2 linked regions of the Caenorhabditis elegans genome follow. The protein of the gene in region 2 purifies or fractionates together with the protein of the main gene of each other region. This does not show direct contact. Each region holds a gene or a part of one and is shown on either strand. Other genes may lie near its edges.

Region 1 (3,242 bases), on a different chromosome or scaffold from region 2:
GAAAATAAGTCATCAAATCTCATCCGAAAAAGTGGCGATCGGTTGATCCAGTTGGTACCAAATCAGAACCATAACGTTAACACTCTGGGAAACATTACAATGACGAAAAATTATGAAAGTGAATATCAAGTTAGACTACAGCTGATACGAGAGGCAAATAATGTGGAAGTGAAGCATCAGAAAATTAATAACTATAATAATAATAATAAAAAAGATCCCGAGTAATAATCGTTAACTGTATTGAAAAAAAGCAGGAAGACATGAACGGGCTTACACTCACTGGTATAAAAACTGAATAAATTGTTGACGCTTTTTGTATGAACCTTGTTTATGTGATGATGCAAAAAATCTGATACGATAACAATTTTATATTAACAAATTAATAGAAACATGCTAATCGTGTTTTTTTCAACCGCTCTTGAAAAATTGAATAGAAAATTTGAACTGAATGCTTGGATTTTTTAATTCACAAAATGTTTAGAGCTTATATACTATTGGAATACTGTAGACTAAGCCTAAAAAACTAGTCTCATATCTTCTATTAGAGTATTACGTACTTAATGACGAGCAGTACTGCAGAAATTTTAATGAATTCATGATATATTTTTGGGTAAAAGTGGATTGAAAAGTTGACCAATTACCGAGTACTATATATTTTCTTTTATGTTACCCAAACTGATCCCCCAAACTTCTCCAACAACTTATCAGGTCGAGAAAGCTATTGCATATTCTGATTTCACGTCAGCTCCTAAAAAACCTAACGCACATTTTATATAGGGAATTACAAGTTTCTAGTTCAAATAATCATGTTGTGAAGTTACGAAATTTGAAATAGTCTCAAATTAACATGAAATAGTCTCAAATTAACATGAACCTGCATGAAAATACTCCATGCATCACCGTGAGAAAACACAACCAATTTGGACTCATTGTTGATAGAGTTACGTGTCGATTTAGAATAGTCCGTGCACCCGTGAAATTATTGTGCACTCAAACTTTACTTTACTCATTTTTCGTTTTTCATTTTTCAAATATCGAATTCATGTGTGAGCTAGAATCAAAATATGCCTTGAAGATTCCCAATCTTATACAATTGAAGTGACAACGCGCATTCAAGCAGATCTCAGACTTTTGTTTTCCAAATCCCTTAACACAATACTAAAAGGAAGGTTTTAAATGAAGATTATTATATTTGTCTGGCGATTTTTTTTTATCAGACAATACAAAAGAGAATAGTTCCTATATAAAGTAGCAGAAATTTTTTTTTATTCGAACTCATCTCTAAGATTTTTGACTGCAAGACTCGTTATCGCGTAATTCAAGTAAGTTTTGAAAAATGCTCGTACGCAATTTTTCAATTGAAAGCGACATCATTCAATGAATACGTTAACAAATTTGATAATCGCGAGTTGTGTAGTCTATTCTTGACATTTCGTCACAACTTTTTACAAATATTACCATTTCAAATTGTCTAACAGAACAAATTTCGAATCGTTTTTAAACAAACGGTAAGACAAATTTCCGGGTATACGTGCTAAAAACTTGTTCTAAGACCATAAGAATACATATTTTTCGGAATGAGCTCGACTGTGGCAATGATTAACCAGATTTGTATCTCAACGGAAATCGTCGTTTTCAATGTTCTTGGACTGTTTGGAAATATCAATTTTCTATGTCTGACATACATCAAACCTGCATTACGATCTAAATCTTGTAAGTAATAAATATTTAAATAACAATAAAACGCCATTTTTACTTTCTTATTTTAAAGAGATTCTCATCTCGTGAAGTTCATAATTTTTAGATTATATCCAGTGTGCTCTAAGCGTATCCCACATATTTTGTCTGCTCTTCGAACTACCAAATGCCGTTCTTCTGTTCACTGGAATCCAGCTCAGACGCAACATTTGCTTTCCGGCAATATCGCTTTACATATTCTTTATCTGTGCTCAAGCTGTAATAATGCTCATGCTGGTCGTCGATCTTTTCATTATTGTCTTCTTCACCACTTTGTTTGTTTTTATGAACATGCTTCCTAAAACCGTTTTCTTTTCAGCTACCGTCGGATTGAAAACACAACTTACACGGCTATGATGTTATTCATACCTTTTGTCTATTCAGCATTCACAGTTGCGTGGGGTTTTGTGAAAATGGATGATGAATTGGTGATCTTCTGTAATCCACCGATCAGTCTTCATCCAGTTGTCAGTAGATGGTGGTCAATGTCTAATGTTGCTCTCAATTCAATCACTCTCTGCCTGTTTCTGTTCTTAATAATTACTTTTCATTTTAGAGGTATGTGAATTACCAGATCATGAGAAAAATCAATATTTCAGGAAAGAAACAAAAAAGCGACACAAGAAAACTGATGAAACGTTTGAAAGTTTCCGTGGTTGTATTCGTTTTCTCTTGGTACATGTGTACTCTCGGTGTCGATTTGTTTGTTGCAATCGGAATGACCGGATCTGTTCTTGTGTTTTTCCAAAGCAATATGGTTTTCTTCGCACTTCTCTGCTATACTCAACCATTTTATGTAATGCTCTGGAGATCATCCGAATATCGAATTGCGTTTGTAGAGATGTGGAGTTTCCTGGGATGTGTGAAAAGCATGAAATCAAAAGGATGGTTGGAAAAAACTTCAAAAGTTACAACTGCGGTCTCTGTGATGGATTCAAGCAAACAATAAAAACTTTACAATTTATTTACTTATTTACATAATTTCTAAAATCTGAATAAACCGGGCTCGATTTAATATTTTAAAAGCATTTTTTGAAAATTTCATCGATGGATGATTGAGCCAAACTGCAAAAGTTTTATCTATCTCTATAATGCACACAAATAAAAAATTGTAGTTTTTCAATTTATTAATATTTAAGTGTATATTACGTCCCATAATTTAAAAAAATAGTTCTCTTGCAAATATTTTTTGAGGGACATTCCTTGATCTTTTGTCTCTAAAAAATCTAATAATTCAGAACAAATAAAACATATTAATATTCGAAAATATACTCATTCTGTTATTATAAATTGAAGGACAACTCATTTCCATTGCTACAATTTTTGCTGTACAACTTTTCAGCCAATTTGTAGTTTATTGTGAAAAATTTAGTAATTCTAAATAATGCTGTATCGGCTGTAATGGAAAAATAACAAGAACAACAAAGCAGAAAGTGTGCTTTCATGCAGGTGTCTTTGTAATTTTTGTAACAGATGTCTTTTTTCAAGACAATCTTATTTAAGAA
Region 2 (4,509 bases):
AAACTCAAAAAAATGCCACGTGTCACGCAATGGTTAAGAATGAATTAATTCTTGGAACATGTTTTTTTGATTTTTTGTTGAAAAATCCACACCGTGACTATTAGGCTGAGAAATAGTTGCGAAAGTTGCTTACTTTATTCAATTTCATTCGACAGACTCGCTGGCGCTGGTCATTTAATGTGATAGTGGAGTTAGACATCAGGAAATATATATTGAGTTCTAGTTCAAAAATGCTGATAATGTTTCAAAAAGTAACAGCCTAGGAATTCAAGTAGAAGTATTCAGTCTCCAACTGTTTGAGATTAACATTTAAAACATTTCAGAAGCCACTACCTACGACAACAAAGACACTTCGTCAACCCGGCCGCTAATCTCCGACCACGTCGCTCCAGCCCCCGATAGCGCTTCAGGAGACGTCACGTCAAGAGATACGGAGCATCCTCCTCGCCAGAAGAAATATCTTTCCAGCACCTCAGATCTTGTGAAGCTGCCTCCAAGCAAGGCACAAATTCTTGAAGCTTGGGAAAATGGAGCCGAACCTTGGCAATCTACCTACTCGGAACGATTAGAGGACGAGAAGGACTTCTATTCTGTTTGCGTGTACGATACAAACCCACCCGACGATGAATGGCGCTGGAATGGAAGACTGGACTTCTCGCTTCACGCGGATCCCGATTTCATTCCACCATGGTGCACCGTGTGGACAAAGGAGCAGGAGGACGATCTTTTGAAGAAAGAGGTAAGAGTTATTTATTCTCCCGTAGATTCTTTGCAATTTTTTTTTTTGAAAAAAATATCATCTGAAAATCTAGAAAAACCAAATTACTTTTGGCAAGACTAATGGAGCTTTCTTTTTTAAAAAATATTTTTTTATAATCTGACGTTTTTCAGAGCGATGCCGAATGGGAAGTCCGCGAGCAGAAACGACTGCGCCAAGAGAGACGTGACAGGCTTCTATAAAGCATTAAACATATTATATTCCAGAGATTTTATTCACGTTTTGAATCAATCAACGTTATTCATTTTTCTACACTTGTTCTCGTCATTTTCCGGTTTCCATGTGGTCCCCCGTCTCTCCCATCCAGCTTTATTTATTTCGGTTTTAATTTAAAATTTCATAATTTCAACATAATTTCAAAATTCGATATCACATTTTCTTGTTGATCTAATTTGAACTGTTCACTAATACATTTTGTTTTAAATATAATACCGTGCGTGCGGAATAAATAATAGAAAACTTATTTGATTTTTTTAAAACTTGAGTTGTTAATGTGACTTTTGTTCATCGTAATTCGTTCCAAATTGCAAAGTGAAAAAAAATAAATGTATTGATATATCTTAAATAAACCAAGATATATGGCTCAGGGTAAATAGACATGGTGCATCGAATTAGTCTAATTTTATCTGAATTTTGTATAGTGTTGTTTTTTTTGAAAATTAAAACATTTATTCATTTGTTTTGTTGTTGATAAGTCCCTGAAATTAATTTTTTCTGTGTCTTAAACCGTCTTTTTTCTTCTTCAACAAAACTTATTAAAAATAAACGCTAAACCACTGTCTCCCGTGCGGAGGTATTGCGAAACCGCGCGCCGCACATTGCAAAAGTGGGCGGGGCGTCGTTTCGTCAGTTATTTCTTGCGTTTTCGCTCGGATATTTGTATTTTTCATCGATTTTTCTTGGAATTTTGGAGCACAAATCGCCATGGGAGCCGATGGAGGAACTATTCCAAAGCGGTAAGTGTCTGTTGTCAGGAAAAATGGGCAAAAACCCGAAAAATAAGGTTTTCAATAAAAATATGTGAATTTGTTTAAAAATATGCCTGAAAATGAGTAAAACCGTCTGAGCAAACTCATGCAATGGAGAAATAATTATGTATAATTTAGTTCAAAATATTTACACGTTTGAGTGGGAAAAAATCGGCTAGTTATCAGATTTTTTCCAACAAAAAAGTATATCTTTAAAAAAAATCGATAATTTCAGTTGCGAACTGGTCAAGGAGAGAAAGAAGAAGGAAAAGCTCGACAAACACGTGAAAAACGCCACAAAATGGAGAAACTGTCAACTAACACAGCTTCCACTGAAAAGACCAGTGATTGCTTGTCGATTTGGAAAGCTTTACAACAAGGAAGATGTGATCAACTCGATTTTGAGCAAAACTATCTCGAAATCAGCTTCAGCTTCTCATATCAAAGGCCCAAAGGATTTTGTAGAGCTTAAGCTCACTTTGAATAAAGATTTCAAGCGTGGAGATGTGAAAGGAGACGATTATAATGATGTGAATCAAACTGAATTCATTTGCCCAATCACAAATGTTCCAATGAACGGAATTCAAAGTTTCTTAGTTAATTGGCAGTGTGGATGTGTGTATTCAGAGAAAGCTCAACAAGAAGTTAAATCCTCAAATTGTCATGTTTGTGGAGGACCTTATGATGCCACAAAAATGGTGATTTTGAATCCGGAGCCGGAGCAATTAGAGCTCTACAAGCTGAAATGGGAGGCTGAGAAAGCTGAAAAAGCGGCGGCGAAGAAGGATAAAGCAAAGAAAACAGCTGAGAAGATGGAGGCTGCCGCTAGTTTGGCTGCTGGATCAGGAGGAGAAGCTTCAAGTGTTGCTCCAGGGCCAAGTGGCTCCGGAGTTGGAAAGCATGGTAAGTTTTGGAGAATATATCGAATTTCATGTAAAAAAAATCGTAAAAATGTCGGAGAAAAGCGAAAATCTGCAATTTTGCCGGTCGTAAATCTATTTTTGCAAATTTCGGTAGTTTATTCTCAGTCAAAACCGTTCATAATATACCCAGATTCAAACCCATTTAAAAAACCGTACAAGTCTATATTATGAAAAGTTCTAATTTTGGGCAGATGTAAACCAAGATTGTCTAGATCCAAACTTAATTTGCATAGATTGCAAGTTTGAGTAGATGTAAACCAAATTTGTGCAGATAAATTCACAATATAGGCTTGTACGGTTTCAATTTGGTTTAAATCTGAGTATATTCTGAACGGGTTTACTGAGTTACGTGATTTTTGTTGATCTATGATTGTTTTTAGGTGCAAAACTCCTAAAAATATACATAACTCAGTAAAACCACGGAATAAACGGAAGCTGAAATAGAATTCAAATGAATTTTCGACTGCTTCGATACGGAAACATGACTTTGAGATTTTATCCGAATTGAGTACGTATTCCAAATATTTTACAGGATTTTATCACTAAAAGACTCAAAAAATGGTCCCAAAAGGCTAAAATTCGAAAAAAAAACTTAAATTTCGCTAAATCCCCCTAATTTTGACACTTTTTCCATTACATCTGTCGGAAATTGATTTTTAGTTCATTTTTCACATTCTGGTCGTTTAATACGTGTTTTTGGTGGAAAATGTCTAAGTTTTTGGTGGAAAATGACACAAAAATTAAACATAAGCGTGAAGAAAAACTACTAAAATGCCTAAAATAGTGAAAAAAAAAACCATGTAAAAATGAGTTTCGAGCTTCTGAAAATTGGCGAAATTGGAGATTTTTCGCAATTTTCCGAGATGTAGATACGAAAACCGCCATAAAATTGTTAGAGAAATTCCGAAAAAAGTACCAAATTATACATTTAAACCCCTATTTTTTCAGTGGATCTCAAGAAAAAGCTGGAAATCGCAAAGCTCACCGGTGGCTCGACATCAGAAAAGAAAGCTGAAAAACGAAAAGCAAATACGGATATTCAATCGGATCCTACCACTTCAGACACTTATAAGAAGCTGTTTACAACATGTGAAGCTGCAAAAAATAAGACTGAAGGACATTGGGTCACTTATAATCCACTTTATTATTGATTTTTCTCACATTTTTTTTGCTCGAAATTTTAAATTTTCCGTTTTTCTTTTACCTTTTCTGTACATTTTGTACATTTACTCCATGATTTTTGTTCAATTTCTCGCTAATAATAATCATTCCAAGAATTTTTGATTTTTTTTTGTGTTCAGTTTCAAAGCATTTACTTGGTTTTAACCGCAATTGTCTTTATTTCTGCTTAAATTTCCATTTTTTAGATCGAAAATTAAATTAAAAACTGGAAATTTCTGAAAACTCTAGTTATTTGAAAGATTTTTCGCAAAATTTTCAGATTTTCAGCAATTTTTTCTACCCATGTGTGGATATACGCAGTTCGTGTACTCCCCGTGGAGAACTTTTCCGAGTTTTCAGTTAAAATGCTTGATGTTTGACCATTTATTTTCGCCTATTTTTTTCAGGTTTTGCATTAAAATCGGTATTTTATCCCTATTTTTTTTAATCTTTTATGTGGAAAATCGATTGTTCTTCTGCTGGAAAACTATAGAAATTAAGAATTCCTTGTTTTCAAGAGTTAATAAATTAATTTACATTTAAAATACTATGAATTAACGATTTTAACCTTAATCTCAAAAAAAATCAGCGGGAATTGTTCAAAAATTGAGGAATTTCAGTCAGAAGTTGTGAAATCTTCTCCTCGTGGAGTACACAAGCATAGTAAATCGACACGTGG

Evidence for each region.
Region 1: the proteins of tads-1 (region 2) and srsx-3 fractionate together in Caenorhabditis elegans (co-fractionation; one large-scale study listed by BioGRID). This does not show direct contact.

The regions. Positions count from the first base shown.
Region 1 is NC_003283.11:7,935,588-7,938,829, reverse strand, and holds srsx-3 (G-protein coupled receptors family 1 profile domain-containing protein), read left to right. Parts: upstream 1-1,577; coding exon 1,578-1,713; intron 1,714-1,804; coding exon 1,805-2,012; intron 2,013-2,056; coding exon 2,057-2,295; intron 2,296-2,336; coding exon 2,337-2,686; downstream 2,687-3,242. Other genes in the region: srt-53 (Serpentine Receptor, class T), read left to right, coding at 1-225.
Region 2 is NC_003279.8:13,383,132-13,387,640, forward strand, and holds tads-1 (Replication termination factor 2), read left to right. Parts: upstream 1-1,620; 5' UTR 1,621-1,702; coding exon 1,703-1,734; intron 1,735-1,981; coding exon 1,982-2,649; intron 2,650-3,617; coding exon 3,618-3,820; 3' UTR 3,821-3,953; downstream 3,954-4,509. Other genes in the region: C01A2.6 (WWE domain-containing protein), read left to right, coding at 324-739, 892-960.